Macaca fascicularis: one gene and its partners. The protein of the gene in region 1 interacts with the protein of each later gene in a pairwise test. Links are inferred from orthologs where the notes say so. Each region holds a gene or a part of one and is shown in the gene's direction. Other genes may lie near its edges. The genes, in order: AP2M1, DVL2, FXR2 and TGOLN2.

Region 1 (6,798 bases):
GCCTGAGAGTCTGCACAGGAGGAGGCCGAAAAGGATCATTCCTGAGCTCAGTGCTGGAGAGAGGGGGCGGGGTTGCTGATGCTCAGCCCCAGGAAACGGAGGGTCAAAATGGCCTTAGAGTCCTGAGCCTAATCTCTCTCAGTTTCTTTCTCCCATCCAGTGTGGAATAAACAGGAACTGGAGCCTAGCTGAGGGGAGGGGCATGTCTGGGAGGGCTGCAGGGTCACTTGCTAAAGGGTTGAGTCAGGAAAAAAGCTCCAGTGATCTGCACAGCTCCACAGGGGATGTTGGCAGGGATTCTGAGGTCTTCTTTTACCCCGCCCCCGCCTGTCCTAGGTCTGTTCTCAGAGCAATGGGCCGCGGAGACTGATCTGCCGCCATGATTGGAGGCTTATTCATCTATAATCACAAGGGGGAGGTGCTCATCTCTCGAGTCTACCGAGATGACATCGGGTGAGTCCTCTGGCAGAGCCAGCTGTGCCCCACCACTCCAGCCCCCGAGCCCCAGCATGCAGGATTAGGTCTCTTCTCACCAGAGGCTTGACTTGGACCACCCTGACCCCTGGCTGCACCCTGGAAGCTCAGCTAGTGTAGCCTGGCTCCCATTAGGTCTGGTGGTATTCACCCGGCAGCCAGCCTGCTGGCCCCTAGGTGGGACCCGTGGAATGGCATGGTCCCACAGCTTTAGGAACGCCTGCCCTTCCTGCATCCTGTTTCTCTATACAGGCCTGGTTGCTGGAGATGAGTGCCTTTGCCCAGGCTGGTGAATTTCTTCTTTGAGGAGAAGGAGAAATATCTCTAGTGGGTGGGGTTAGTGGCCAGGCTGGAGACACTAATCCATCTAAGCCTTGCTCTGAGAAGCCCTTCTCATATCAAGCGCCTTCACTGGATTCTATTGAAAGCCTCTCCAGGCTACCCAATCCTCTCCTGCTCCCTTTCTCAGGAGTCAGGCTGCTGACTCAGCTGTCTTCAGTTCCTCTGGGCCATTCCTGGGGGAGAGGCTGGGAGGGAGCGTGAGGCACTCTCTGGGTCACTAAGAAAGGGCAGGGAGGCCATGCTACCCTCTCTGGTTTATCAGAGTAGACCCAGAGCGGCTCCATATCCTGGGCCTTCACACAGAGCCACAGCCTGCCTTCTCATTCTGCACCCCCTTGCACACGCTGGACCTATCCTAGCCTCCGAGGCGCTAATGAGATTAGGCTCCTCTGGTTCCTGCTGCCTGTTTTTCTTCCTCAGAGAGCTTGAGATAAAGTCACAGAATGGGCCTGTGGCAGTGCTCCTCATTTGGCTCCCTGGCTGATGGGCTGGCCTGGCCCTTGCGGGTGTTTGTCCATTGGCTGGTGGTGTGGCATGAGTTAGAGCTGCAGCTGTGGCAAGGTCTGGCCTGCCTGAATCTGGCTGGCTACACCCCCCACCCCCACCCCCGGCCCCCCTCCTGCGTTGGATGGACTAGGCAAGCCAAGGCTGGGTCACACGCCACCTTGCCTGTCTTGTCTGCTTCCACCTCACGGTGTGTGCTGCCCTCCCGGTGTGTTGTGTGTCTAACCCTCTCTCTCGTTGCTGTCACTCTCCTCTTCTTGCTGGCGTCATTTCTCTCATCCCATCTCATTGACTGCCGTAGCAATAGGTAAGCGGCCTCTCAAGCTGCTGCCCAGGTACAGGTGGGTGGGGGCCCTGCCCCCATCATTGTTTTCCTGCATCCTTTTTCATTCCCTGAACTTGCTCTGGAGTTGGATCCTGGGCAAGAATGGGTAGCACAGTTCCATGGCCCCTTGGTACTTCCTCCTTTGTGACTTCTGAAGCCATGCTGGCTTTGTATAACATCTGGAGGAGTCGGCCCTCCCCACTGGTGGGATCACTAGTGGGAGGACTGGAGAAGCAGTGTCTCTTTCTGTCCTGGACCTGGGAGCTTACAGGGAAGCTAGATAAAGCTGGGAAATTAGGGCCAGCCCTGGGAGTCAAGAATATCTGTCTCTAAACCTGATGAACCTCACTTTATTAAGGTTACATCGGCCTTAATAGTTGACTTCCCTATTTCTTGTGGCCTTTAGACACTAGCCCAGCTCAGGCACTCTTCCCATGCCTCCACAGGGAGTCATAAGAAGGGAACCACCCCAGTGGTTTAGGCATTGGCTTTCTTTAGATTGTGTGTGTCAGACTTCTGCAGAAAGGTGGGTGGAGCTGTTAACAGCTGTGGTTGATCCTTGTGGGGTAAGGTTCGCCTGGGTGCTGAGCAGGCCCTGTGCACCCTTTCCCCTCAGGAGGAACGCAGTGGATGCCTTTCGGGTCAATGTTATCCATGCCCGGCAGCAGGTGCGCAGCCCCGTCACCAACATTGCTCGCACCAGCTTCTTCCACGTTAAGCGGTCCAACATTTGGCTGGCAGCAGTCACCAAGCAGAATGTCAACGCTGCCATGGTCTTCGAATTCCTCTATAAGATGTGTGACGTGATGGCTGCCTACTTTGGCAAGATCAGCGAGGAAAACATCAAGAACAATTTTGTACTCATATATGAGCTGCTGGATGGTGAGGCTGGTGGGCTGGCAGGGCAGGGGGCCTAGGGTGGGAAAGAACCAGGCTGGGCCTGGCCTGAAAGTGGGTGTAGGTCCGAGGCTCTGGTACACTCTGAACTTTCTTTCCTGAGTATCTGGGCTCTTGGACTAGGATCTCTATGCCCCTCAGAAGGCCAGTTCACATCCAAACCTAAAGGCTGGTCTGAAGTAGAACACAGAAATAGGCCAGCAGGTGTGGAGGGGAAGTTTTGGTCTTCCACGGGGCTAGGAACCTGACTCAGGTTTGGTGGTGAGCCTCCTGTATTCATCCTCTTTCCTTTGTGGCTTGGACCTTACTTCACTGACTGTCCACCCAGTTTTCCATCTCAGCAGCTGCTTCAGAGCCTGGGGGAGACTGAGATACTACAAGCCTCTGGGGGTGCACTGTTACCTCTGTTTCTCTGTAGAGTGTGATCTAAGGGAAGGTGAATCCTTCCACCTTCCCATTGTCTATTTTCTGGAGAAAACAGCTCAAAGCTTCTTGATTTGCCACCCACTGGCCATGTGACTCTTCTATTGATTTCTTTTTTTTTTTTTTTTTTTTTTGAGACAGGGTCTTACTGTTGTCGCCTATGCTGAGTGCAGTGGTGTAATCGCAGCTCACTGAAGCCTTGACCTCCCAGGCTCAAGCAATCCTCCAGCCTTAGCCTCCTGAGTAGCTGGGACCACAGGCACATGCCACCATGCTTGGCTCATTTTTACTATTTTTTGTAGAGCTGGGTCTCGCTATGTTGCCCAGGCTGGTCTTGAACTCCTGGGCTGAAGTGATTCTCCCACCTTGGCCTCCCAAAGTGTTGGGATTATAGGCATAAGCCACTGCGCCTGGCCTTGATTTCTCTATTTGAAAAAATCAAACATTTGAATTGTTTTCCTGTAAAGCACAAATCACAGAATAAATGCTACAAAGCTAGAAGACTTTGTTGCAGATGATCCCACATGGTCTTTGGGAGCTGTGCCAGTCAGACATGTGTAGGCCCAAGTAGGGACTGGAATGAGAAGGTTTGTTCAGGGGCTGATGGTTCCCTTCTTTTTCAGAGATTCTAGACTTTGGCTATCCACAGAATTCCGAGACAGGCGCGCTGAAAACCTTCATCACGCAGCAGGGCATCAAGAGTCAGGTACTTGAATTGTGCAGACTATAGTCAGGGTGCAGGCCAATCTCCCTTCATCTCAGCTGGCCCCTGAGCCTTGTCTGAGCTGACTCATAAGCCCTCCCATAACAGGAAGTGCTGGCCTGAGCCTCCTGCCATGATTGCAGGCCTATTTTGCTCTATGTGGTCCTCCCACTGCAGGAGCAGCCAATTCAGCATCTCTGTTACCAGGAATACAGCTCAAGCAGTTTCCTTTTGCACTGAGGGTTGGGGGAGGAGGCCTGGTCTTGAGGCCTGGTGTTCCTCAGGAGGAGAGAGCTTGGGCCCTCTCCTATAGGATCCAAGCCTCATAGCTTTCTCCTCCTTTTCTGCCTCCCTTGCTACTTCATGTGGGCACCTCGTTGGCCCTGCGGCCTCCAGCATCAGGTAAGCCCTTCCCTTAGCTTCCGCCCTTGCAGCTTTGCTTTGTTTCTCCAGGCCCTGCCCTTTGGGGCTTATAGGGGAAAATGGATTACAGGTGGGGACTAGAAGGGATGGGGAATGAGGGTGGAGTGGGGATAGAGACAGGATGATTAAAGGGAGAGGGGAGTGAGGCTCTTGCTGTTTGTTTCTGCTCCCATGTAGACAAAAGAAGAGCAGTCACAGATCACCAGCCAGGTGACTGGGCAGATTGGCTGGCGGCGAGAGGGTATCAAGTATCGCCGGAATGAGCTCTTCCTGGATGTGCTGGAGAGTGTGAACCTGCTCATGTCCCCACAAGGTGAGGTCCCTCTCACAACAAAGCTGGAGGGGGACCAGGGCAGGATCCTGGGTCTGCCTGCCTGACTCTGCTGCTCCCCATTTATCTGTTCCATCATCAGGGCAGGTGCTGAGTGCCCATGTGTCGGGCCGGGTGGTGATGAAGAGCTACCTGAGTGGCATGCCTGAATGCAAGTTTGGGATGAATGACAAGATTGTTATTGAAAAGCAGGGCAAAGGCACAGCTGATGAAACAAGCAAGAGGTGCCTGAGGCAGGAGAGCTGGTGGGAAAGGGTGTCCCTTGGAGGGCTCGGTGGGGTCTAGTGAACCACAAGTTTCTTCTGGATTTCATTCCCACTGTAATTGCAAACTCTGTTCCTGACGGTAAGCCTGGCTGTTCGCTCTTGACATTGGTGCTAAGAGAGATGAGGGGACTGTCCTCAGAGCAAGCCCCTTTTTTTGGTCCCTAGGACCAAGGCCTCTTCTGTACATACTGATAGCCTCCTCTGCCCAGTGTGCCTGAAACACCCAGGTCCCAAGCAGCAGGGCCCCCAAGAGATGAGTTTACAAGGTTTCCCTCTCATCCCAAGCTCTGGGGCAGACCTCTGAGTCAGAAAGCTGCATTCTAGCAGCTTTTCATAGTCTCTGGTGCCAGCCTGGGGTGGAGTGGTCTCCCAGCGTGACACCTGTCATTCTCCTGTACCAATGAGACCTCCTCTTCTGCCCCTGCTTGCAGTGGGAAGCAATCAATTGCCATTGATGACTGCACCTTCCACCAGTGTGTACGACTCAGCAAGTTTGACTCTGAACGCAGCATCAGCTTTATCCCACCAGATGGAGAGTTTGAGCTTATGAGGTGCCATTGGGGTGTGAAGAGGCAGCCAGTGCTGCTGGCAGATTGGGGAGAGGAAGTGGGTCAGCTCTTTGGTAACCTTGCTTCCCATCCCTTAAGGTATCGCACAACCAAGGACATCATCCTTCCCTTCCGGGTGATCCCGCTAGTGCGAGAAGTGGGACGCACCAAACTGGAGGTCAAGGTGGTCATCAAGTCCAACTTTAAACCCTCACTCCTGGCTCAGAAGATTGAGGTGAGGACAGGGGGCTTGGGGAGGAGGAAGAACTTGTCCCTAGGAATAAAGGCAGCTGATGTCACAGCTTGACAGAGCTCCCTGACAGGTGTGTCACTTCTAGGTGAGGATCCCAACCCCACTGAACACAAGTGGGGTGCAGGTGATCTGCATGAAGGGGAAGGCCAAGTACAAGGCCAGCGAGAATGCCATCGTGTGGAAGTGAGTCTTTCCTTCATTAGGCCACAGCAGGTTCAAGATCCCAGTGTACCCTCTTGTTTTCACCTTTGATCCTTCTGAATGAGGGGTGGGGGAGTGTGCCTCTTTGCTTTTCTAGGAGCCTCTGCTTGTACTGTCAGCCTTTATGCCTCCATGTGAGTATGTACACGCCTGCATTTGGGTTCATGCACGTGCTTATTTTTTAAGATGCTTTGGCATTTCCCTGCTTGCCTTTGTAATGTATCTGTGAAGCTGACAAAGCAAAGATAGCATGCCCAAGTGTCTAGGCAGAAACTGCATCCTGTTGTCCTAAAGAAGTAGACCCAAGCTTCCATAGCAAGTAGTTAGCAGGGTCCTGACCACTTCTTGTTGTGGCACCTCCTGCAAGCTCCTGGGCGTGCTCCTTAAAATGGGCAACTGCCCTTGAAACTTCTCCAAGCTACAATGGGCTGCCTGTTGTCCCTGTGTTCCTAGGATCAAGCGCATGGCAGGCATGAAGGAATCGCAGATCAGCGCAGAGATTGAGCTTCTGCCTACCAACGACAAGAAGAAATGGGCTCGACCCCCCATTTCCATGAACTTTGAGGTATGGCAGAGGAGGGGCCTAGAGTCATGCCAGGGTATGCTGGAAAAGCTCTTAGAGATCATTCCGATAAACCGCTGCACCTTAGAGGTGAGGAAACTGAGGCCTAGAAAGAAGAACTGGCTTTAATTCATAGATCCATTCTTCCCCTTTCAAGCCTCTTAGTAGAAGTTACTATTCATAGTGAGGCAAATCTTTCACTTCTCTTAGCTTGTCCTAACACAGTTCTTTCGAAAAACTTAGATTGTTTAAATGCCAGGTAAGACACAAAGTTTACTTACAGACAGGATAATGGACTGACTTTGCTTTGTGCATGTTAGACATAATTTTCTCCACCTTATTTTTAAGTTCATAATATTGAGCAGGATAAGTATGTTCTAAAGCAGTTCATTGGTTGCTGTCTCCTGCTGATGAAAGGAACTGATTCCGGGTGTCACTGGCAGGGCTTTCTTCTTCAGCCACCTCTTAGAGGGTCCCTCACCACCCCAGCTTCTTTAAGGACCCCAGCCATTCAAACACCTGTAGTAGAGATGAAGTAGAGCAGGG
Region 2 (7,461 bases), on another chromosome or scaffold:
GAGGAGGAATTTTACACAGACTGTTTCGTAGTGTCTTGACTCAGCTTTTATTGCTTTTCCAGATCCACCTCCGACCCTGAAGCCAGAGACTCAGGTGAGATTTCCTTGATCTTTGCAGCCTAGTAGCCCTGCCTGACAACGCCCCCGCCCCCCTTTTCTAGACGCCTCACTTAGGGACTGTGTCTCTGAGAATGCCCTTCTTAAACTGTGTGGCTTTCCATGTGATCCATGTCTCCTTCCTTTCAGCCACCAGAGAAACGGCGGAGAACAATTGAGGATTTCAACAAATTCTGCAGTTTTGTTTTGGCATATGCTGGTTACATCCCTCCTAGCAAAGAGGTAGGGGCAAGAGAATTACTGACTTGAGGCTCGTGTCGTGGGACTAGAGAGTGGCTGTTGTTCACATAGAACTGTACTGCTTTATAGGAGGAAGCCCCTAGAAATATGTAAGACTAGAGGGAAGTTGGAGATTCTTAGGACTGTGGTAGGAAAGCTGGTATGCAGGGAGTGGATGGCAGGGCTAGCTAGCTTGAACAGCAGTGAAAAGCAAGGGGGTTCTGGAGTTGCTGGTCGAGATTTTGGCAGTCTTGAGGTGCTGTGAATAGAAGGTGTTTATGGATAAATTTTAGGGAGATGAAAATGGTAACAAATTAGGCTACACAGAAAAAGAGCTAAGGACATAAGGCTCTGGTCTGGGGGACACCGTGTTCCACAGGCCCTGGGCGGGGCAGCGGTGAGGTATCAAGACTCGAAGGTGGAGGTAACACGGAGTGGTCACGAGGACATGCTGATGGGAATTGGGGTGGGGAGAAGTTTTGGGAGTACAGTGGGATTTAGTGGTTGAGGTAGAGGACATTTTGGGGTAAATCTAGTCACTCCTTTTCAAGCTGGGTTTGTGGAGGGGCTGAGATGACACTGGGGTTCTGCTGACCCTGGTCTCTTTCCCCTTTTAAGGAAAGTGACTGGCCCGCCTCTGGCTCCAGCTCTCCATTGCGAGGAGAGAGTGCGGCCGACAGTGATGGCTGGGACTCGGCCCCCTCAGATCTTCGAACCATCCAGACTTTTGTTAAGAAAGCAAAGTCATCCAAGAGAAGGGCAGCCCAAGCAGGTCCCACCCAGCCAGGACCCCCAAGGTCCACTTTCTCTCGTCTGCAGGCCCCCGACAGTGCTACCTTGCTTGAGAAGATGAAGCTCAAGGACTCTCTCTTTGATCTCGATGGGCCCAAGGTGGCATCTCCTTTGTCCCCCACATCCCTGACACATACCTCCCGGCCCCCTGCTGCTCTTACCCCCGTGCCCCTTTCCCAGGGGGACCTCTCCCATCCTCCTCGAAAGAAGGACCGAAAGAACCGAAAGTTGGGGCCAGGAGCTGGGGCTGGCTTTGGGGTGCTTCGGAGGCCTCGGCCAACTCCTGGGGATGGGGAAAAGAGATCTCGAATCAAGAAGAGCAAGAAGCGGAAGTTAAAAAAGGCAGAACGGGGGGATAGACTCCCACCTCCTGGGCCTCCCCAGGCACCCCCCAGTGATACAGACTCTGAAGAGGAGGAGGAGGAAGAGGAAGAGGAAGAAGAGGAAGAGATGGCAACAGTGGTAGGGGGTGAAGCCCCAGCCCCTGTGCTCCCAACACCCCCCGAGGCTCCTAGGCCCCCTGCCACAGTGCACCCTGAAGGAGTCCCTCCTACTGACAGTGAAAGCAAGGAGGTGGGCAGCACTGAAACAAGCCAAGATGGAGATGCCAGCTCCAGTGAAGGCGAGATGCGGGTCATGGATGAGGACATCATGGTAGAATCAGGTGAGAGGTTTGGGCTGGGGCGAGGGGTTTGAGGGTGTTGTGGATCCAACAACTGCTCAGGCAGAATACCAAACAAACCTTTTTTCCCCAGGTGATGACTCATGGGATCTGATCACGTGTTACTGTCGAAAGCCCTTTGCAGGGCGGCCCATGATTGAGTGCAGCCTGTGTGGGACGTGGATCCACCTCTCCTGTGCTAAGATTAAGAAGACCAACGTCCCTGACTTCTTTTATTGCCAGAAATGCAAGGAACTGAGGCCAGAGGCCCGGCGGTTAGGGGGGCCTCCCAAATCTGGAGAGCCCTGACGGCACCAACTTTAGCCTGGAACTTCCAAATGATAACATGATTTGGGAACTGAGCCTCAGGGTCCTCAGCCTACCCCCTGGAGCTTGGATACTGTCCGCACTTCAAGGCAGGAATTCCCAAGGGAGACTTGTTTGAAAATGAGTGTCTCACTTGCCTACCCTATCCGTCCTCCCCACTCTGAACTTGAAATTGAACCCATTACGGTTGCGGGTGGGAGGCTGTCTGTGTCTCTAGACACATAATCTCTGTCTCTTGGACCTGCCACCATCACTTTCTGGGTCAGGATTGGAATTGGGATGGAATGGGACAGTTGTCTATAAAACTCTAGTGTAAATATTAGCACTCCCCTCCCTCATCTTTTCTTCTATTTCACTCCCCATTTATTTTCTTCTACACCGGTTGTATTTTTAATTTTGGACTTCCCCTACTGGGCATGGCAGCTCAAAGGTGGAGTACTAGAGCCTGGCCAAGCAAGGAAGGAAAGCAGAAAGGTGACGATTCTCACTCACCTCTTTTGTTTTTAATAATATTGGCCGCTGTTTGTACAGACAGCCTGCGTGTTGTAAATAAAGCAGAGTGGGCTCTTTTGTGTTTATAGCCCTCACTGTCCTGCTTGGGAGGGAGGCTTTGGTGGCTGAAGACTAGCTGGACGTGGTGCTGAAAGCCACCTCTCACAGTCCAGTCTGAAGATGGCACAGCACTGGGCCTCTCCCACCCCAAGATACTTGAGTAAGCCACCTCAGAGCTTTCATTGTATTTGGCCCTCCCCACTCGAGTCTAGGAACCCCCACAATCCCCACCTTCACTCCCTGCACGCACACTCCTGAGGGTCAGAGTTGCTTCGCGCTCCCGCCGGTGTGGGGTAAAGCCGGGTGGGAGCCGACTGTCCGCTTCCTGAGGGCACAGGCCAGCTTATCCTGGGTGCTCCGAGGACCTCGGCTGGGGTACACCTTTGGGGGCTGGGAGACCGTTGCCGAAGGCAGCGATCACGTGGCGGGGGCACTAGGAGGAGTCACGCGGTCACGTGACTGGGAGGGGTCACGTGACGGGGGCGGCTGAAGAGCGCGGGGTGGGCGGGCTTAGGTCACGTGACATGAGGAGAGGTGGGCGGGGACCTGGAGGACGCTCGCGTTGTCGGTGGCGGTGGCGCGCGGCGGCCGCTGAGACCGCGGCTTTGAGTCGCACCTCGCGGCCCGCCCCCCGCCGCCACCCTTGCCGACCCCTGCTTTTTTCCCTTTGCTTCTCTCCAGTACTGGGTCCGTCCTGTCCGCGCTCGCTCGTCGGTTTGCGGGTGTGCGCAGGCGCGGCAGGGGCCATTAGCCCCTTGGGTGGGCGGTGGAGCCCGGGAGCGCGCGGGCGAGACCATGGCGGGCAGCAGCGCTGGGGGCGGTGGGGTTGGGGAGACGAAGGTGATTTACCACCTGGATGAGGAAGAGACTCCATACCTGGTGAAGATCCCTGTCCCCGCCGAGCGCATCACCCTCGGCGATTTCAAGAGCGTCCTGCAGCGGCCCGCGGGCGCCAAGTACTTTTTCAAGTCTATGGATCAGGATTTCGGGTGAGCGCAAGGCCTAGATAGGACCGACGGGGGCTTTGCTAGAGTGGATTGGGCGACGTGGAGGGGCACACATCTACTTCGGGCCACACTAGGATTTTCTGGCCTGTGGTGGAGCAGATTGTACCATGCTGAGGTAGGTTGACTCTCCCAGGATGGACAAGGTTATGCTTGGATAGATTGAGGCACACGGGCAGACTAGGATATCCTAAACCAGATTAGAGACGATTAGGCTCTACTGGAATAGGTGGAGGCATACTGGTTTATTTTGGAGTGTTTTAGACTGTACTGAGTAAATTCATCTATCGTCTGGTCGTTTAGTACGTTCTCAGGAGTCCTGTAACGCCTGTAATCTCAGCACTTTGGGAGGCCGAGGCGGGCGGATCACGAAGTCAGGAGATCGAGACTATCCTGGCTAACACGGTGAAGCCCCATCTGTACTAACTAAAAATACAAAAAAATTAGCCGGGCGTGGTGGCGGGCGCCTGTAGTCCCAGCTACTTGGGAGGCTGAAGCAGGGAGAATCGCTTGAACCTGGGAGGCGGAGGTTGCAGTGAGCCGAGATCGCGCCACTGCACTCCAGCCTGGACGACAGTGCAAGACTCCATCTCCAAAAAAAAAAAAACACCAAAAAACAAAACAAAACAAACTTGGGCCATTATGGACTCTACTGGGCTGTATTGGTTAATCCTGGTTTATCTTGGGGCAAGACATGGTTTTATTGGAGCACTCAGTATGGGGGCAGACAAGGCTGTTGGTGCCCATGCTAGTACAGGTAGCTGTATTGGGGTATTCTAGTCTATATTGGTGCAGACAGCTGCGTGTGGGGACATTGTAGGCTGTGCTAGAATAGATTGGGCTATCCTAGGGTAATTTGGACATTCAGGGCTATCTTGGACTAGATTGGCATGTAAATAATGCAGAGAAAGCCCTTTTGTGTTTATGGTCTTTGGGGCTGAGCCCTCTCTGGGTCCTCAACCTCTGCTTTTTTTTTTTTTTTTTTTTTTTAAAGACAAGAGTCTCGCTCTGTCGCCCAGGCTGGAGTGCAGTGGCTGATTCTCGGTTCACTGCAAGCTCCGCCTCCCGGGTTCACGCCATTCTCCTGCCTCAGCCTCCCCACTAGCTGGGACTACAGGCACCCACCACCACACCTGGCTAATTTTTTGTATTTTTTAGTAGAGACGGAGTTTCACCGTGTTAGCCAGGATGGTCTCGATCTACTGACCTCATGATCGGACCGCCTCGGCCTCCCAAAGTGATGGGATTACAGGCGTGAGCCACTGCGCCCAGCCCAACCTCTGCTTTTTTGAAGGCAGGCTGGATTAAGTTGAGATAGCATGGGTTTTAGAAGAACTGAACAAACTGGACTCTAGCTAGAAAGATTGTTTGACATGGGAAGGGTGATACTATCTTGGGAGTTATCTTGGCTTTAAGTCAAGGTTCTTCTAGTTGTCAGCAGTGCAATCTTGGACAATTAATTTAAATTTTGTGTCTTGATCTCGTCTGTGACATGGAGAAAATCACAGAATGAAATGGTTAGTTCAGGTGTGTGGTACATGGTGAATTCTTGGTGAATGGTAATTGTCATTAGTATTGAGGCTGACTACTCTATAAAGGTTATGGTGATACACAGTAATTTGTCTTAAGAGTGGACTGAGCTATGCTGAGATTGTGTTATGTTGGGAAGAATCCTACATGATGCTGAGACAGATTGGTAGTGACTGGGCTGTGTTGTCACATTGACAGCAAATGGATTAAGTTGATATATATCCTGGCTCTTATGACCATATTAGGCTAATGGGTTAATTAGACAAGGTGTCCTAATTTGGCGGCAAGGGTGTGTGTGGAAAGAGAGAGAGAAACAACCAGGGCAGAGAGTCTGATGCTTTATATGTTTATTCATTTAGTTGACAGTATTTGTTAATGCCTAAGTGTCAGTGTGTGGTGTGTGGCCAGGACATGGTGTTGATCAGAGTAAGTGTTCATGGTTTGATGTCGTGGTCAAGAAGAAGGGGCAAGTCCAGTCCACCACAGGGAACCCATTGGAGAGATGACCCCAAGGCTGGGCTTTGGGATCTGTCAGGCTGAGCAGATTGCTTCGTGCCGAATTTTGTGCCAGATGAGGCACAGGGGAATGGGAGCGCCAGCTTGCTCTCTCCTTGGGAGCTTTCAGTCTAATGAGGAGCTTCCATTGTTTGTTTGATCTAATGGTGGGTGGTTTTGTTTTTTGTTGTTTTTTGTTTGTTTGAGGTGGAATCTCACTCTGTCGCCCAGGCTGGAGTGCAGTGGCGCAATCTCGGCTCACTGCAACCTCCGCCTCCTGAGTTCAAGCGATTCTCCTACTTCGGCTTCCGGAGTAGTTGGGATTATAGTGTGCACCACCGTGCCCGGCTCATTTTTGTATTTTTAGGAGAGACAGGGTTTCATCATGTTGGCCAGCTCCTGGCCTCAGGTAATCCACCCACTTTGGCCTCTCAAAGTGCTGGGATTACAGGTGTGAGCCACTATGCCTGGCCTCTAATGGGTGTTTTTACTCAAGAAAGGACAGTCTTCTGGAAATGAATTAGTGAAAACTAAAGGCAAGTATAAAAGTAGAGACTTGGTTGAGGACCGAAGCCTTTTTTTGGAAGGTTTTTTTTTTTTTTTTTTTTTTTTTTGAGACAGATTCTTGCTCAGCCGCCCAGGCTGGAGTGCAGTGGCACAGTCTTGGCTCACTGCAACCACTGTCTCCTGGGTTCAAGCAACTCTCCCGTCTCAGTCTCCTGAGTAGCTGGGATTATAGGCACCCACCATCATGCCTGGCTAATTTTTATATTTTAGTAGAGACGAGGTTTCACCATGTTGGCCAGGCTGGTCTTGAACTCCTGACCTCAGGTGATCCGCCCACCTCAGCCTCCCAAAGTTTTAGCATTACAGGCATGAGCCACCGTGCCCGGCCTTTTTGGAAGGTTTGTAAGGAACAGGGATGGGCTTGAGAGGAGGCTACCAGCCAGTCTCATTAGATAGGTATCTTAGGCAGCTGCATCAGCATAGGGGATTGCCTTTGAAATTGTACTGAGAGGTTTGAATCAGACTCAGTCAAGTCTTTGGAGCAGCACTACGCCCCTGAGGGTGCGTTAGGGAGAGGAGAAATAAGGAAAGGGGATTGAGTTTGGAGATTTCTTAGGTGTCAGAGTGAGTTTTTTCAATGTAAGAGAAGACCTGAACAGGGCGGGAGAAAGTCAGCATCCTGGAGCCCGGTGAAGATTGGGAGGAACTTTGATGGGGGTGGGGGTGGGGGTGGTTGGTCCAGCTCACTGACCTCCACCTTGTCTCTTGGCAGAGTGGTGAAGGAAGAAATTTCAGATGACAACGCCCGCCTCCCCTGCTTCAACGGAAGGGTGGTATCCTGGGTAAGAGGTGCAGACGCCGAGGGCTGGGTCCCCTCTGCATTTCCAAGCTTCCCCAGGCCTCAGTCCGTTTCTGTAGCCCTCTCCCAGGCCAGGTATTAGCAGCCCTGGCTCTTTACCTCTTATCTGTTTGGAGAGCCAGTGAGAGGCCCTCAGCCTTCTCCTTCTGGAGTCTCTAATACTTGCTAGGTTATTTTGCTCTTCTCCAGCTCTCTGAGACCCTTTTTCGTTCTTTCACTTACTGCAACCTGTCACACCCCGACTCCCAGCTGAGCGCCACTGTTTATTGTTTGCACCCTTCTAGCTGGTGTCCTCAGATAATCCCCAACCCGAGATGGCTCCTCCAGCCCACGAGCCTCGGGCAGAACTGGCGCCTCCAGCCCCACCTTTACCCCCTTTGCCACCCGAGAGGACCAGC
Region 3 (7,557 bases), on another chromosome or scaffold:
TTGAGATGATTTCATCTTCCCAGATAATTATATCTGTTATCATTTTCTGGAATTCTGGTTATTCAGATGTTGTATCCCATGGACTAATCCTTTAATTTTCTTATATTTTATTTTCCTTTCTTCTATCGCCTTTATTTTTATTTTTATTTTATTTTTTATTTATTTTTTTTTTTTGAGACGGAGTCTCGCTCTGTCGCCCAGGCTGGAGTGCAGTGGCGCAATCTCGGCTCACTGCAAGCTCCGCCTCCCGGGTTCACGCCATTCTCCTGCCTCAGCCTCCCGAGTAGCTGGGACTACAGGCGCCCGCCCCTGCGTCCGGCTAGTTTTTTCTATTTTTAGTAGAGACGGGGTTTCACCATGGTCTCCATCTCCTGACCTTGTGATCCGCCCACCTCGGCCTCCCAAAGTGCTGGGATTACAGGCGTGAGCCACCACGCCCGGCCTATTTTTATTTTTAATTTTTATTTTTTCAGATAGAGTCTTGCTCTGTCACCCAAACTGGAGTGCAGTGGCACAATCTTGGCTCACTGCAACCTCTGCCTCCTGAGTTCAAGTGATTCTCCTGCCTCAGTCTCCTGAGTAGCTGGGACTACAAGCGCATGCCACCATTCCAGGCTAATTTTTGTATTTTTAGTAGAGATGGAATTTCAACAGACTGGTCTTGAACTCCTGACCTCAGGTGACCTCAGGTGATCCACCAGCCTCAGCCTCCCAAACTGCTGGGATTACAGGTATGAGCCCGGTGCCTGGCCATGGTTGCAATATTAATAATTATTATAAATATTAATAATTTTTCCAGTGTCTTTCTTCTGCCATCACACTATGAAGTAAGAGATTTCCGGCCGGGCGCGGTGGCTCACGCCTGTAATCCCTGCACTTTGGGAGGCTGAGGCGGGCGGATCACGAGGTCAGGAGATCGAGACCATCCTGGCTAACACGTTGAAACCCCGTCTCTACTAAAATACAAAAAATTAGCCGGGCGCGGTGGCGGGCGCCTGTAGTCCCAGCTACTCGGGAGGCTGAGGCAGGAGAATGGCGCGAATCCGGGAGGCGGAGCTTGCAGTGAGCAGAGATGGCGCCACTGCACTCCAGCCTGGGCGACAAAGTGAAGACTCCGCCTCAAAAAAAAAAAAAAAAAAAAAAAAGAAGTAAGAGATTTCCAGGTCTGTTTGTCCCCACCATTAAATACAAAAATTTAAAAATTAGCCAGATGTGGTGGCTAAGTTCAAAGGGCAAAAAAAAAAAAAAAAAAAAAAACTTAGTATAATCCATCACCTTATTTTCTAAACCTTTATCTCCTATGTTATGTCCTCCATGATTGGCATTACCATTTACTCTAATCCAAGAAGTGAATGGAACATAGGACAACTCCCAGAATGTGAATTTTTCCTGCTACTACCATTATTTCATTATAATTTTTCCTATTTTGAATTTCCCCGGAATTGTTTATTATTTATTATTATTATTATTTTTTTTTGAGACAGAATGTCACTCTTGTTGCCCAGACTGGAGTGCAATGGCACAATCTCGGCTCACTGCAACCTCTGCCTCCCGGGTTCAAGCAATTCTCCTGCCTCAGCCTCCGAGTAGCTGGGTTTACAGGCATGGGCCATCATGCCCAGCTAATTTTTGTATTTTTAGTAGAGACGGGGTTTCTCCATGTTGGTCAGGCTGGTCTCAAACTCCCAATCTTAGGTGATCTACCCGCCTCTGCCTCCCAAAGTGGTGGGATTACAGGTGTGAGCCACTGCACCCGGGCACTATTATTATTATTATTATTATTACTATTTGTCGTTGTTGTTGTTGAGATGGAGTCTCGCTCTGTCGCCCAGGCTGGAGTGCAGTGGCGCGATCTCCACTCACGCAACCTCCGCCTCCTGGGTTCACGCCATTCTCCTGCCTCAGCCTCCAGAGTAGCTGGGACTACAGGCGCTCGCCACCACGCCTGGCTTTTTTTTTTTTTTTGTATTTTTAGTTGAGATGGAGTTTCACCGTGTTAGCCAGGATGGTCTCGATCTCCTGACCTCGTGATCCGCCCGCGTCGGCCTCCCAAAGTGCTGGGATTACAGGCGTGAGCCATCGCACACTGCCATTATTATTATTTTTTAAGTTTCACTCATTGCCCAGGCTGGAGTGCAGTGGCGTGATACCCGCTCACTGCAACCTCCACCTTCCTAGGTTCAAGTGATTCTCCTGCCGCATCCTCCCGAGTAGCTGGGACTCCTCCCGAGTAGCTGGAACTACCACAGCTGATTTTTTGTATTTTAGTAGAGACGGGGTTTCACCATGTTGACCAGAATGGTCTCCATCTCCTGACCTCGTGATCCGCCCGCCAGTGATCTCGGCCTCCCAAAGCGCTGGGATTACAGGCGTGAGCCACCGCGCCCGGCCTAATTTTTGTAGTTTTAATAGAAACGGGGTTTCGCCCTGTTGAGGCTGGTCTCGAACTTGGGGGCTCAAGTGATCCACACGCCTGGGCCTCCTAAAGTGCTGGGATTACAGGAGTGAGCCACAGCGCCCCCGGCCGAAACTATTCTACTATTCTTAAAACTTTCTTTCGTTTCTTTCTTTTTTTTTTTGAGACGGAGGCTTGCTCTGTCGCCCAGGCTGGAGTGCAATGGCGCGATCTCGGCTCTCTGTAACTTCTACCTCCCAGGTTCAAGTGATTCTCCTGCCTCAGCCTCCCGAGTATCTGGGATTACAGGCGCGTGCTACCACGCCCGACTAATTTTTATGTTTTATTAGATGCGGGGGTGGGGTGGTTCACCATATTGGCCACGCTGGTCTCGAACTCCTGACCTCAGGTGATCCGAGGACCTCAGGTGATCCACCCGCCTTGGCCTCCCAGAGTGCTGGCATTACAGGCGTGAGCCACCGCGCCTGGCCAAAACTTTCATTGTATCACAATCTCTTCAAGGCAAGAGCTATGACTTAAATCTACTACAGCACAGTTACAGATTCTTAAAAGATAGGCGATGCATGCGCGCAGACAGTAAAGCTCAGCGCGTGCGCACCGAGCACCTTTTTCCTTGCGGCGACTTCTCTTCTTTTTTTTTTTGGAGCGTGCGCACCAAGAAAGACAAAGGTGGGGAAAGTGACCAAGCAGTCGTTCAGGCGCATGCCCATCCCTAACTTGTCCGAGCCCGGTGGGGCCAGCGGCGGCGGCGTGGGTGTGGCCTGAGCGCTGTGTGACTGTGCGGCCGCCGCCCAATCGGACTGAGCGAGCCCGGCCCCTCCCTCCCTCTGATTGGTTGGTTCTCAGGGTTGTGGGGCGCGGAAAGGAAGAGACGGGGCTGCTGGGCGGTGGGGCGGTGGAGAAAGAAGGCTAATTTTGTTCTGCGCAAGCGCGAGCAAGCGACCAGGAGGGGGCGTGAGAGAGTGAAAGGGAATGTGGAAGCCCCGATGCGCTGGCTAGCGCTAGCTGGGGCTCTAACCTTGACGCCTGCGCCGTGGCCCTCGGGGCCCCGCGCGCAGCGGGCGGGTGCCCGGTGCGCCTGCGCAGTAGGAGGCGGTGGCAGGGGGAGGTGGAGGCTGTGGAGCGGCAGCGGCAGCAGCGGGTCCCGGGACTGAGGCAGCAGCGGGGGCGGCGGCAGGCGGAAGCTGAGGTGACGAAGGCAGCGGCGGCGGCGGCCGTTTCCCTCACGGTGGCGGAGACCAAGGCGGCGGCGGCGGACGGGGAGCGGCCCGGCCCCGGCCCCCTGCTCGTTGGCTGTGGCAGGGCCGCCGTGGGGCCGGCCCGGCTCCCGCCCCCCGCGGCTCCCCCTCCGGCTCCTCCTCCGGGGAGACGCCGGGGGCCTGGCCCGGCCCGCACTCAGACTGCTGCTGCAGCCGCCGCCGGGGGAGTCGGAGGCGGTGGCGGCGCCATGGGCGGCCTGGCCTCTGGGGGGGATGTGGAGCCGGGACTGCCCGTCGAGGTGCGCGGCTCCAACGGGGCCTTCTACAAGGTGAGACGGCGCGCCGACTGGGGACGCCGGTCCTTAGCCCCCTCCCCCGGCCGGAGCAGGAACGCGTGGGGCGGGATCGAGCTTCTGGAGCTGAGTCCTGGCCCTTAGAATCTTAGACCCTTGCTCCCACCCGCAGCCTTCCCTGAGAGACCTCTTGGAGTGAACCTGTTCCTTTTATTTTTGAGCCCTTTAATGCACCTGCTTCTACCCCCATCTCAGGGAGAATGAACTTCAGGCCATTATTGTCCCTGGCTTGGCGCTCCCCGCTCCCCAGGAGAGACCCCTTTACCCAGCTTCTAATTGACTGTTTCCGTTGTCTGATGGAAGACATACCTTAGACCTTAATCACATCTTCCCCACGGTCCAGGCACATGGAGAATTGTCTTTCTTCTGCACGGTCCCCTTGGGAAGGCCCCCTCTGTCCCATATCGGATCCTTTCATCTTCCTCAGAGAGGCCTCTGCCTACTGACTCTGGAACACTCACCCCACTTTCAGCTTATATTCCGGTTCCCAAGCCAAGGAGAAATGGTCAGATCCATTTACGACGTTTGGCATCTTTGACCTCAGGAACCCTGGGTTGGATCAGTCAAGTTGCTTCTCAGCCAGCCATAAGGTGGCATCTTTCGCAAGTCTTTCACCCCACCACACCTTGATCTCAAGGCCCACTGGTCTACCATTCTACTCAGAATGGATTTGAGGTCTCACTTAGACCTCAGATACCTTCAGGTCATTCTTAGAGTTTCTTCGTCTTGAGGCATGTGAGCTTCATAGTCATGATCTCTAAAAGGATCTCTAAAAGGAAGCTCATGGGGTTCCCTTCTGTTTTTCTTAAGATTTCCACTTCTTGAAGACTCTTGGCCAACTATCCCAGTTCGGGAATCTGACAACCTTTTTTGGAAGAAGGGATCATCTTTCAAAGACCTTTCCTTATTTGACCTCCCCCTTTGCCCAGGATTTGGTTCCTTAGAACTCCTTATAATACCACCTTCCTTATCTGCTCTGAATCCATTTTCTAGGACATTTTTTTCCCATTTGGATTAAGCCAGAGAGAACCCTTTCTTGCCTCCCAAGAGTTTTTCTTCGACTGTTGCTATTCTGAACCTCTTTTGGATTTGATGCCTGGAATTGTCCCAGAGACTCTCCTGATTTCTGTCTCATTCTTTGATTTCACCTTGGGGAGCTGTAGAAGAGATACCTTCCCATGGCATTACTTGTTAAGAGTAGATCCCCCTTCCCCCTTTCCTTCTGTTCCCCTCAGGCCTTTCCCCCCCACAGTAGCCCTCTCTAGTTTCTCATGCCCTTGGAAGTGTCTTTCTTTGACTCCTTCCCTAAGTCATATTTTCTGTAACTGTAGAGGGTCTTGTAATTTCCCTTGGGTGGTTTCTGCCTCTACTTCAGTTGCTAAGTTCATTGTAGTCTTTTTTTTTTTTTTTGAGACGGAGTCTGGCTCTGTCACCCAGGCTGGAGTGCAGTGGCACGATCTGGGCTCACTGCAAGCTCCGCCTCCCAGGTTTACGCCATTGTCCTGTCTCAGCCTCCTGAGTAGCTGTGACTACAGGCACACACCACCACGCCCGGCTAGTTTTTTGTATTTTTAGTAGAGACGAGGTTTCACCGTGTTAGCCAGGATGGTCTTGATCTCCTGACCTTGTGATCCGCCCGCCTCAGCCTCCCAAAGTGCTGGGATTACAGGCGTGAGCCACCGCGCCATTGTAGTCATTTTTTACTTACTCTTCATACTTACCCATTTTTGCCTTACTTCCCTCATCAGATTTCTTTCTGTGCGGTGACTTTGGGTACCCATGTCTAACTTACTGTCTCAATTCAAGTTTTTGGCTTTTTCTCCTAATACTTCTGTATTCCTGTGTAATCCCCAGGGATCACCTAATTCCCTGTCTAGCTGAAGGAAGCTCCCTGCTGATCTCTTTTGTCATTTTCTGCATACTTGCCTAACTCTTGGGACTTTTTCTTCTAGCCTGCCTCCATAGCATTTCTGTTTTTTTTGGCAAAAGTCTCTAATTCCTTTCTGCTTTTGATAGAGCACATTTATCTCTCATATCCTTTTCCCCAAACTTGCACTACCTTTGTTGAAATACGCCTCCTAAAGTGGCCCTCCCTGTTTCCCTCGGTATCTTTTCCTTCATCTGGGTCCTTACCACCCCAAAATTCTGAGTTCCAAGAAAAGTCATTCTTAAGTTGAGTCCAAGATCAAGATATGATGTTTGCTTTGTTCTAGGAAGCACAGGAGCCCTGCACAGCTGGGAAAGATTGGTATCCAGTTCAAATGAACTGTATGAGATGGCTGGGAAGGGACACGTTTTCTGTTCTACATATAAGTGTCCAGCAGAAAGTCTCTCTGAATCTTTTCCCTTTCTCCTGTGCGCTGTGGGCAATGATAGACTTGAGTACATGGGGACCAGGATACTCTGATTCAGAGAGTAGAGTCTGGGGTTGAGCTGAAAGCCAGGTAATGTGGTAATGTGGATCTGGGCAGGTTAGCATTTTCTGCCCCGTTCCTGAGTTAAAAACCACAAATCCCTAAATTCAGGCTAATCTTCCACTCTCAGTACCCTATAGATACTTATCCGTTTTGACCTTGCTGCTGATTTAATATTCATGACTCAGCAAACTTGGGATGGGTCAGGGAGTATTTACACTGCTTCTGGAAATGTACATTGGGAAGGTCCCTTTCTCCTCTCTCAGAATTGGGCCCTGTTGTCAGTTTTCTTTTCTTTCTCTTCTTTTTTTTTTTTTTAAATTTGAGACAGGGTCTCCTTTTGTCATCCAGGCTGGAGTACAGTGGCATGATGTCATCTCACTGCAGCCTCCGCCTCCCGGGTTCAAGCGATTCTCCTGCCTCAGCCTCCAGAGTAGCTGGGATTACAGGTGTGCAACACCATGCCTGGCTAATTTTTGTATTTTCAGTAGAGACGGGGTTTTGCCATGTTGGTCAGGCTGATTTCTGACTCCTGACCTCAAGTGATTAGCCCGCCTTGGCCTCCCAAGTGCTGGGATTACAGGTGTGAACCACCATGCCCTCCCATCAGTTAGTTTTCTTAAAGGATAAAATGTTAGATCTGGGATCTAAGTTATTTTGTAGCTATCCCAACATTAAGTTTGTCAGAACTTACTCTTTTTTTCTGTTTTTTTTTTTTTCATGTTAGACTGGCATCTGTAACAAGGTTTGAGGGAGGCCCACATCACACGTGAGCTTGAAACCTCAGTCATCATGCTTAAGACGTACTCAATGATCTAATGTATTTTATTCTTTAAGTTGTACTCTCCCAAATGAAGTATTCACCTTCCAGGGTGCAATCATCCTACTCCGAACCTCACCTGGATATCCTAATCCCCATTCCTTTCTTAATCAACGTGGCATCCTCAGCTTCAGTACTTGGTTTTTACTCAGACTGTTCCTGCTCTTCTCCTAGAACCCCCTCCTTTGCTTTGGGAGTCTAGAACTAGACAACAGTCAAAGTGGGGACCCATTTTATATCTTCTAATTTGAGGAAACCAAAGTACCTAGGAACCTGGGGCTCGCTCTTGCTCTGTTGGCTTGGTGCCAGGCTCCAGAAGCCAAAGCCAGGTGATGCTATGGCCACTGAATCTAGT
Region 4 (7,359 bases), on another chromosome or scaffold:
CTGGTAGCCACCTCTACTTTCATGAGATCCACTAGTCTCAGCTACTTGGAAGGCTGAGGTGGGGGATCACTAGAGCCCAGGAGATGGAGATTGCAGTGAGCTGAAGTCGTGCCACTGCACTCAAGCCTGGGTGACACAGTAAGACTGTCTCAAAAAAAAAAAAAAAAAAAGAGATGGGGTCTTGCCATGTTGCCCAGTCTGGTCTGGAACTTCTGGGCTCACACGATCCTCCCGCCTCAGCCTCCCAAAGTGCTGGGATTACAAGAGTATCTATCTCTTTGACATACTTATTTCCTTTCTTTTGGATACATACCCAGCAGTGGGAATACTGGATCATATGGCAGTTCTATTTTTAGTTTCTGAGAAACTCTGTGCTGTTTTCATTTTTTTATAGAGATAGAGTCTTGCTACATTGCCCAGGCTGATTTCGAACTCCTGGGCTCAAGTCATCTGCCTGCCTCAGCCTCCCAAGGTGCTGGGACTACAGGTGTGAGCCTGCATGCCCTGCCAATACTATTTTCCATAATGGCTGTACTAATCTACATTCCCACCAACAGGATATGAGCATTCCCTTTTCTTCTCATCCTTGTCAACATTATGTATTTTTTTTTCTTTTGATAACAGCCATTCTAACTGGGCTAAGATGATCTCTCATTGTGGTCTGGATTTGGATTTCCCTGATGATTAGTGATAGTGAGCATCTTTTCACATACCATTTCTATGTTGGCCATTTGTATGTCATCTTTTGAGATACGTCTATTCAGCAGGTCTTTTGCCCATTTTTTTTTTTCTTTTTTTGAGATGGTTGCCTAGGCTGGAATGCAGTGATAAGATTTTGGCTCACTCACTGCAATCTCCGCCTCCCAGGCTCAAATAATCCTCCCATCCTCAGCCTTCTGAGTAGCTGGGATTACATGCACAGGCCACCATGCCCAGCTAATTTTTTGTATTTTTGGTAGACACAGGGTTTCATCATGTTGCCCTGGCTGGTGCCCATTTTTTAATTACATTTTTTTCCTTGAGTTTCTTATATATTCTAGTTATTAATCCCTTGTCGGATGGATAGCTTGCGAATAGTTCTCCCATTATGTAGGTTGTTTCTTCACTGTTTCCTTTGCTGTGCAGAAGCTTTTTAACTTGATGTAATCTCATTTAAGACCTATCATTTCTTAAATGACTGTCTCCTAAGCACCAAGCCTGGCAATCGTTCATAAAGTGATTTCAAACATTTAATGTATAAACATAACAGTAACTGTAAACGGTGGGATACAAAACCATTTACCTGATTATCCCAATATGCGGAGAAAATAAATCTGCATAGAAGAAAAGAGAAATACACTAATTAAGAAGGGAAAGTGTCCTTTTTTTTTTTTTTTACAAAACTAAATGGAAACATAATAAACTAATGTAAGCGGTAACCTGTGGAGGAGTAGGAAGACTCTTCTAAGAAAGGTCTATTTACTTTAAAATCTGGTTATCATTTCTGAAACATTATACCGTATTATCTATTCAAAAAACATTAAATGTTTAGAGGGCAGACAATACACTAAAACATTAATAGTGATTATCCCGGAAGGGTGGCAGTCAGGTTTTGTTTTCTGCTTCTGTACTTTTACGACCAGAAAAAGGCTGCACTTTTTGGAAAACATGTTTGGCGACCTCGGAGAACACCGTCTCTGTGGAGGCGGGAAGGAGGAGGGCCGGGATGCGAAGGCAACGCTTTGTAGGTGATCGGATGGATTTGTTCCCACATGGGAGAGACCAGAGCACCGCATGTTTGTATACTACCAAGAGGGAAACACGAAAAAAGCAGAGCATAGAAACGCAAGCACAGGATGGTGGTGGCCAAGAGGCTCCTGCCCCTAGCGGCCTCACTTCCGCGGCCAGTGCGAGAGGCCAGGGAGCTCCAGCTCTGCCTGTAAGGTCTCGGAAGTACGCAGCGGAGAGGACGAAAAACGGAGGGCCAGTCTGTTGCGGCTGTGGTAGAGACGAGAAACCAGGAAGAAGAGGCTCACCTTCCACTCAGCGACCGTAACCACCGCAGCGGAAGGCGAGCGTAGACATCAGCAGCAGCGGCCCCCGCAAATCTCGCCCTTTGTCTTGGCGGAAGCCGGAGACGGAAAGACGCGCGCAGCAGGGGCGGGACTGGAGAGGGGCCCCGCGCGCGGATCTCGCGAGAGCGTTAGAGGGCGGAAGCGCTATTCGAGCAGGATGAGGTTCGTGGTTGCGTTAGTCCTCCTGAGCGTCGCAGCGGCTGGTAAGACCCTCTATCCAGCATCCCACTCTTGCCCCCAGATCCCCCATTCTCACCTGGGCAGGTAACTTCTAGGCTCGCTTCTTCCCTGCCCGACCCACCTCTCCGCTCGCCATCATCTCCCGCCCCACCCCCCAATCCCTGTTTCCCCGCTGCTCCCAATATCTTCCAGCTCTGAGGAGTTCCTTCTTCCGGCCTGCCCTTCTCTGGTGCTAAGTCGTTTTTCTATTTTAGGAGCCGCGCCGCTCTCGGACACCGCAAGTGTCAAGAAAGAAGAAGCTGGAGTTCGGCCTTCTACAGAAAACGTCTCTACTTACCCCACCTTGAGCCAACGGCCTGGAGGCTCTACCAAGTCGGATCCGGAGCCGCACACTTCAGTAGACAGCCCTAGCAGTTCGGATCCAGAGCCGCAGACTTCAAAAGACAGCCCTCGCAAGTCGGGTGCGGAGGCGCAGACCCCAGAAGACAACCCCAACAAGTCGGGTGCGGAGGCAAAGACCCAAAAAGACAGCTCTAGCAAGTCAGGTTCGGAGGCTCAGATCACAAAAGACAGCTCCAGCAAGTCGGGTGCGGAGGCAAAGACCCAAAAAGACAGCCCTAGCAAGTCGGGTTCGGAGGCGCAGACCACGAAAGACAGCACTAGCAAATCGGGTGCGGAGGCGCCGACCACAAAAGACGTCCCTAATAAGTCGGGTGCCGACGGCTCTAGCAAGTCGGGTGCGGAGGATCAGATCCCAAAAGACGTCCCTAACAAGTCAGGTGCGGAGAAGCAGACTCCCAAAGACGCCGCTAACAAGTCCGGTGCAGAGGAGCAGGGCCCAATAGACGGGTCTAGCAAGTCAGATGCGGAGGAGCAGACCCCAAAAGACGGCCCTGGCAAGGTGGTTCCAGAGCAGCCTTCCAGGAAAGACCATTCCAAGCCCGTCTCCAACCCTTCTGATAACAAGGAGCTCCCCAAGGCTGACACAAACCAGTTAGCTGACAAAGGGAAGCTTTCTCCTCATGCTTTCAAAACCGAATCTGGGGAGGACACTGACCTCATTTCTTCCCCGCAGGAGGAAGGTAAGTCTTCAGAGCCTACTGAGGATGTGGAGCCCAAAGAGGCTGAAGATGATGATACAGGACCCGAGGAGGGCTCACCGCCCAAAGAAGAGAAAGAAAAGATGTCCGGTTCTGCCTCCAATGAAAACCGTGAAGGGACACTTTTGGATTCCAGGGGTAGCGAGAAGGATGACCATTATAGGGAGAGTTCTGGAAATGCCAGCGCGGAGAGCAGCCACTTCTTTGCATATCTGGTGACTGCAGCCATTCTTGTGGCAGTCCTCTATATCGCTCATCACAACAAGCGGAAGGTAGGTCTAGAGCGGCCTTCGGGAGGGGAGTGGGGTTTCCAGCACCCTGGAAGCTTGGGTTTGGGTGGGTATCCTATCACTGGATGCCCGTGAGCACTGGGGACTTTAAAACAAACTTCAGTTTTTTTCCTCGGGCCCCATTAGGCCTTTTTACTCTTGTTTTGTGAATCGTGTTTTCATCCTGTCATCTATTTACTTTGAGTGTCCTCTGCTACTGCATTAGGAGCCAAGTTAGGCCATTATTAGGATCTGACCTGAGGTGGAATCTCCTCCCATAACTTTGCACTTGGGCCCTTCACAGCCTCAGAGGACCTGAGTACTTGACAGTTAAAGCACGTACCTTCCATACTATTTCCATTCTTGAGACGACATATCATTTCTAGTTTCCTTTCCCAACATTCTCTCTTCCATCAGTGGCACAAAGAATAGTTTCAATTACTGCATCTTCAATACCAGCAACAAGGAGCCCAGGGACTTCTGCAATTAATAATAATTAGAAGAAAGCCCAGAAATTGCACAGACATGTACACCTGTGACTTTTTCAGCAGGGTTTGGTCTGTTTATTAGCAACCACTCTAATGACAAAATGATTGCATTTCATATTGAGCCCCCAAAATTTAGAAGCTAGTTTCTGTAACCTGCTTAAAATTGGAGAGTCCATTTCTGGCCATGAGGCCTGTGGCTAGAAAGAATAGAGGGGAAGACCTTTAGTAAAAATGTGCATTCCTGGCTGGGTGCAGTGGCTCATGCCTGTAATCCCAGCACTTTGGGAGGCTGAGGCGGGAGGATCGCTTGAGCCCAGGAGTTCGAGACCAGCCTGGCCAACAAAGCGAGACCTCGTCTCTACATACAATAAAAAAAAAATTAGCCAGATGTGGTGGACGTGTGTGGGCCCAGCTAGTCTGGAGGCTGAAGTGGGAGGATGGCTTGACTGTGGGAGGTCGAGGCTTCAGTGAGCCATGGTCACGCCACTGCACTCCAGCCTGGGTGACAGAGTGAGACCTGTCCTCAAAGAAAAAAAAGTGCATTTCTTTTTTTTTTTTTTTTGAGACGGAGTCTCACTCTGTCACCCAGGCTGGAGTGCAGTGGCCGGATCTCAGCTCACTGCAAGCTCCGCCTCCCGGGTTTACGCCATTCTCCTGCCTCAGCCTCCCGAGTAGCTGGGACTACAGGCGCCCGCCACCATGCCTGGCTAGTTTTTTTTGTATTTTTTAGTAGAGACGGGGTTTCACCTTATCAGCCAGGATGGTCTCCATCTCCTGACCTTGTGATCCGCCCGTCTCGGCCTCCCAAAGTGCTGGGATTACAGGCTTGAGCCACCACACCCAGCCAAAAAAGTGCATTTCTTATTCTATGTCCAGGTGTCCATTATGCAGGGTAACCTTGGTCATGAAATGAGAGTGACAGAGAGTATAGTTGATGTAGCAACGTGGGATGAAAGAGTACATTTGCAGATAGGAAATTCTGATTATGATTATTTTTAAAGGAATGTCCTATTGTAGATATCTCTAGGAAGGAGTTGATAGATCTTTGACTTGTGTACCTTTGAATGAATCATACAGACTTCCTCCCACACGCTAGAACTCAGACAGCCTTCTATTTGTTATTTCCTATTAAGCGATACAAAAGATTCTGATGTAATTAGGCTCTGTCTTTCTTAAACTGGTTAAAGTTTAAATAGACCTCTGTGAGTGTACTGCTCTTTCTACAGTCAGGGTCATTAACAAATATGCTACCAGGTGACTGCCTCTGATTTCAGAGACTGAACTATGTCATTACTTGTTAATCATTTTCTTTTTCTTTTCCTCAGATCATTGCTTTTGTCCTGGAAGGAAAAAGATCTAAAGTCACCCGGCGGCCAAAGGCCAGTGACTACCAACGTTTGGACCAGAAGGTAAGGAAGGAGGAGCCAGGTCCACGGGAGGGATAGTTAACGTTAGATGGACCCAGTAGTGGGCTTGCGTTTGCCATGGCAGCAGTGGCCGATTCTGGGGGTGCTGTTGCTGTTGCATTCGCCCTTTTTAGACAACAAACTAGAAACATCTAGATACACATATCTCTGACGTTAGAGCTAGAAGAGACCTTCGAATACTCTACAGCAGCTCCCTCCCTTGACAGATGAGGAAATAGGCCCGCACAGAAACATTCATTTTTTTTTTCCGCTAAGTTTCTACTGCAAGTTAGTGGCAAAATCAGGACCTGATAGCAACTCCCTGGTCTCCCAGTCTTGAGCTTTCTGCATTCTACCAGCACTCCATAAACTTTAATAGGCATTTGAATCACCTTGGGGAATTTTGATAAAAAGCATTGTCTGATTCATTTGATGTGGGGTGGAGCCTATATTTCTACATTCTTTTTTTTTTTTGGAGGCAGAGTTTCGCTCTTGTTGCCCAGGCTGGAGTACAGTGGTGCAATCTCGGCTCACTGCAACCTCTGCTTCCTGGGTTCAAGCTATTCTCCTGCTTCAGCCTCCCAAGTAGCTAGGATTACAAGTGCCACCACCATGCCCAGCTAATTTTGTATTTTTGGTAGAGATGGGGTTTCTCCATGTTGGTCAGGCTGGTCTTGAACTCCCAACCTCAGGTGATCCACCTGCCTCAACCTCCCAAAGTGCTGGGATTACAGGCATGAACCACCATGCCCAGCCTAGGCATGGTGGAAGTTCTCAGGTGAAACCAAATGCCACTGGATCCACACTTTATGTGGTAAAGCACTAGACTACGCTCCCTGAAAACAGAAGCCCAGAAGCACATAGGCCTCTAACTCCCTACATCAGCCTGGCTTAAGCACTGTGGGCTGGAGTTCCTGAGTACAGCCAATCGATTCCTCTGTCAGAGAGATAAGCCCTCCTTCCACCCCTATTGGGGGAACCCCCACTCCCAGTATTTAAACGTAGGTTCTTTCTATTTTTCCTAAGTGTCGGCTGGTCTGAGAAATAAAGAGAAAGAATACAAAGAGAGGAATTTTACAGCAGGGCCTCTGGGGGTAACATCATATATTGGCAGGACCGTGATGTCCCCCTGAGCTGCAAAACCAGCAAGTTTTTATTAGAGATTTCAGAAGGGGAGGGGGTGTATGAACAGGGAGTAGGTCACAAAGATCACATGCCTCAAAGGGCAATAAAGATCACAAGGCAAAGGGCAAAGCAAAAATCACAAGGCAAAGGGCAAAATTAGAATTACTGATAAGGTTCTGTATTCAGCTATGCACATATTGTCTTGATAAACGTCTTAACAGAAAACAGAGTTCGAGAGCAGAGAACAGGTCTGACCTCAAGTTTACCGGGGTGGGATTTTTTTCCCTACCCTAATAAGCCTGAGGGTACTGCAGGAGACCAGGGCGTATTTCAGTCCTTATCTTAACTGCATAAGACAGACACTCCCAGAGCAGCCATTTATAGACCTCCCTCCAGAAATGCAGTTCTTTTCCTAGGGTCTTAATATTTAATATTCCTTGCTAGGAGAAGAATTTAGCAATATCTCTCCTACTTGCACATCCGTTTATAGGCTCTCTGCAAGAAGAAAAATATGTCTCTATTCTGCCCAACCCCACAGACAGTCAGACCTTATGGTTGCCTTCCCTCGTTTCCTGAAAATTGCTGTTGTTCTGTTCTTTTTCAAGGTGCACTGATTTCATATTGTTAAAACACCCATGTTTTACAATCAGATTTCATATTGTTCAAATATACACGTTTTACAATCAGTTTGTACAGTTAACGCAATCATCACAGGGTCCTGAGGTGACATACATCCT

What was found.
Region 2: the proteins of AP2M1 (region 1) and DVL2 interact in a two-hybrid assay, tested with the Homo sapiens proteins (2 studies listed by BioGRID and IntAct). The two-hybrid records come from large-scale screens. The link is inferred for Macaca fascicularis from reciprocal best matches to the Homo sapiens genes AP2M1 and DVL2.
Region 3: the proteins of AP2M1 (region 1) and FXR2 interact in binary tests that used the Homo sapiens proteins (3 or more experiments, as listed by UniProt). The link is inferred for Macaca fascicularis from reciprocal best matches to the Homo sapiens genes AP2M1 and FXR2.
Region 4: the proteins of AP2M1 (region 1) and TGOLN2 interact in a two-hybrid assay, tested with the Homo sapiens proteins (2 studies listed by BioGRID). The link is inferred for Macaca fascicularis from reciprocal best matches to the Homo sapiens genes AP2M1 and TGOLN2.

The regions. Positions count from the first base shown.
Region 1 is NC_088376.1:96,095,871-96,102,668, forward strand, and holds part of AP2M1 (AP-2 complex subunit mu), read left to right. Parts: intron 1-336; 5' UTR 337-379; coding exon 380-453; intron 454-2,261; coding exon 2,262-2,527; intron 2,528-3,588; coding exon 3,589-3,671; exon of another isoform or gene 3,672-4,031; coding exon of another isoform or gene 4,032-4,070; intron 4,071-4,268; coding exon 4,269-4,404; intron 4,405-4,504; coding exon 4,505-4,646; intron 4,647-5,119; coding exon 5,120-5,239; intron 5,240-5,335; coding exon 5,336-5,471; intron 5,472-5,574; coding exon 5,575-5,672; intron 5,673-6,143; coding exon 6,144-6,255; intron 6,256-6,798.
Region 2 is NC_088390.1:7,279,629-7,287,089, reverse strand, and holds the start of DVL2 (segment polarity protein dishevelled homolog DVL-2), read left to right. Parts: upstream 1-3,208; 5' UTR 3,209-3,463; coding exon 3,464-3,657; intron 3,658-6,976; coding exon 6,977-7,046; intron 7,047-7,347; coding exon 7,348-7,461. Other genes in the region: PHF23 (PHD finger protein 23), read left to right, coding at 63-94, 247-339, 955-1,792, 1,884-2,098.
Region 3 is NC_088390.1:7,663,155-7,670,711, reverse strand, and holds the start of FXR2 (RNA-binding protein FXR2), read left to right. Parts: upstream 1-3,498; 5' UTR 3,499-3,863; coding exon 3,864-3,944; intron 3,945-7,103; exon of another isoform or gene 7,104-7,197; intron 7,198-7,557. UniProt on the Homo sapiens protein: mRNA-binding protein that acts as a regulator of mRNAs translation and/or stability, and which is required for adult hippocampal neurogenesis. Specifically binds to AU-rich elements (AREs) in the 3'-UTR of target mRNAs.
Region 4 is NC_088387.1:36,263,206-36,270,564, forward strand, and holds the start of TGOLN2 (trans-Golgi network integral membrane protein 2), read left to right. Parts: upstream 1-2,184; 5' UTR 2,185-2,211; coding exon 2,212-2,257; intron 2,258-2,488; coding exon 2,489-3,606; intron 3,607-5,416; coding exon 5,417-5,500; coding exon of another isoform or gene 5,501-5,536; exon of another isoform or gene 5,537-5,639; intron 5,640-7,359. UniProt on the Homo sapiens protein: May be involved in regulating membrane traffic to and from trans-Golgi network.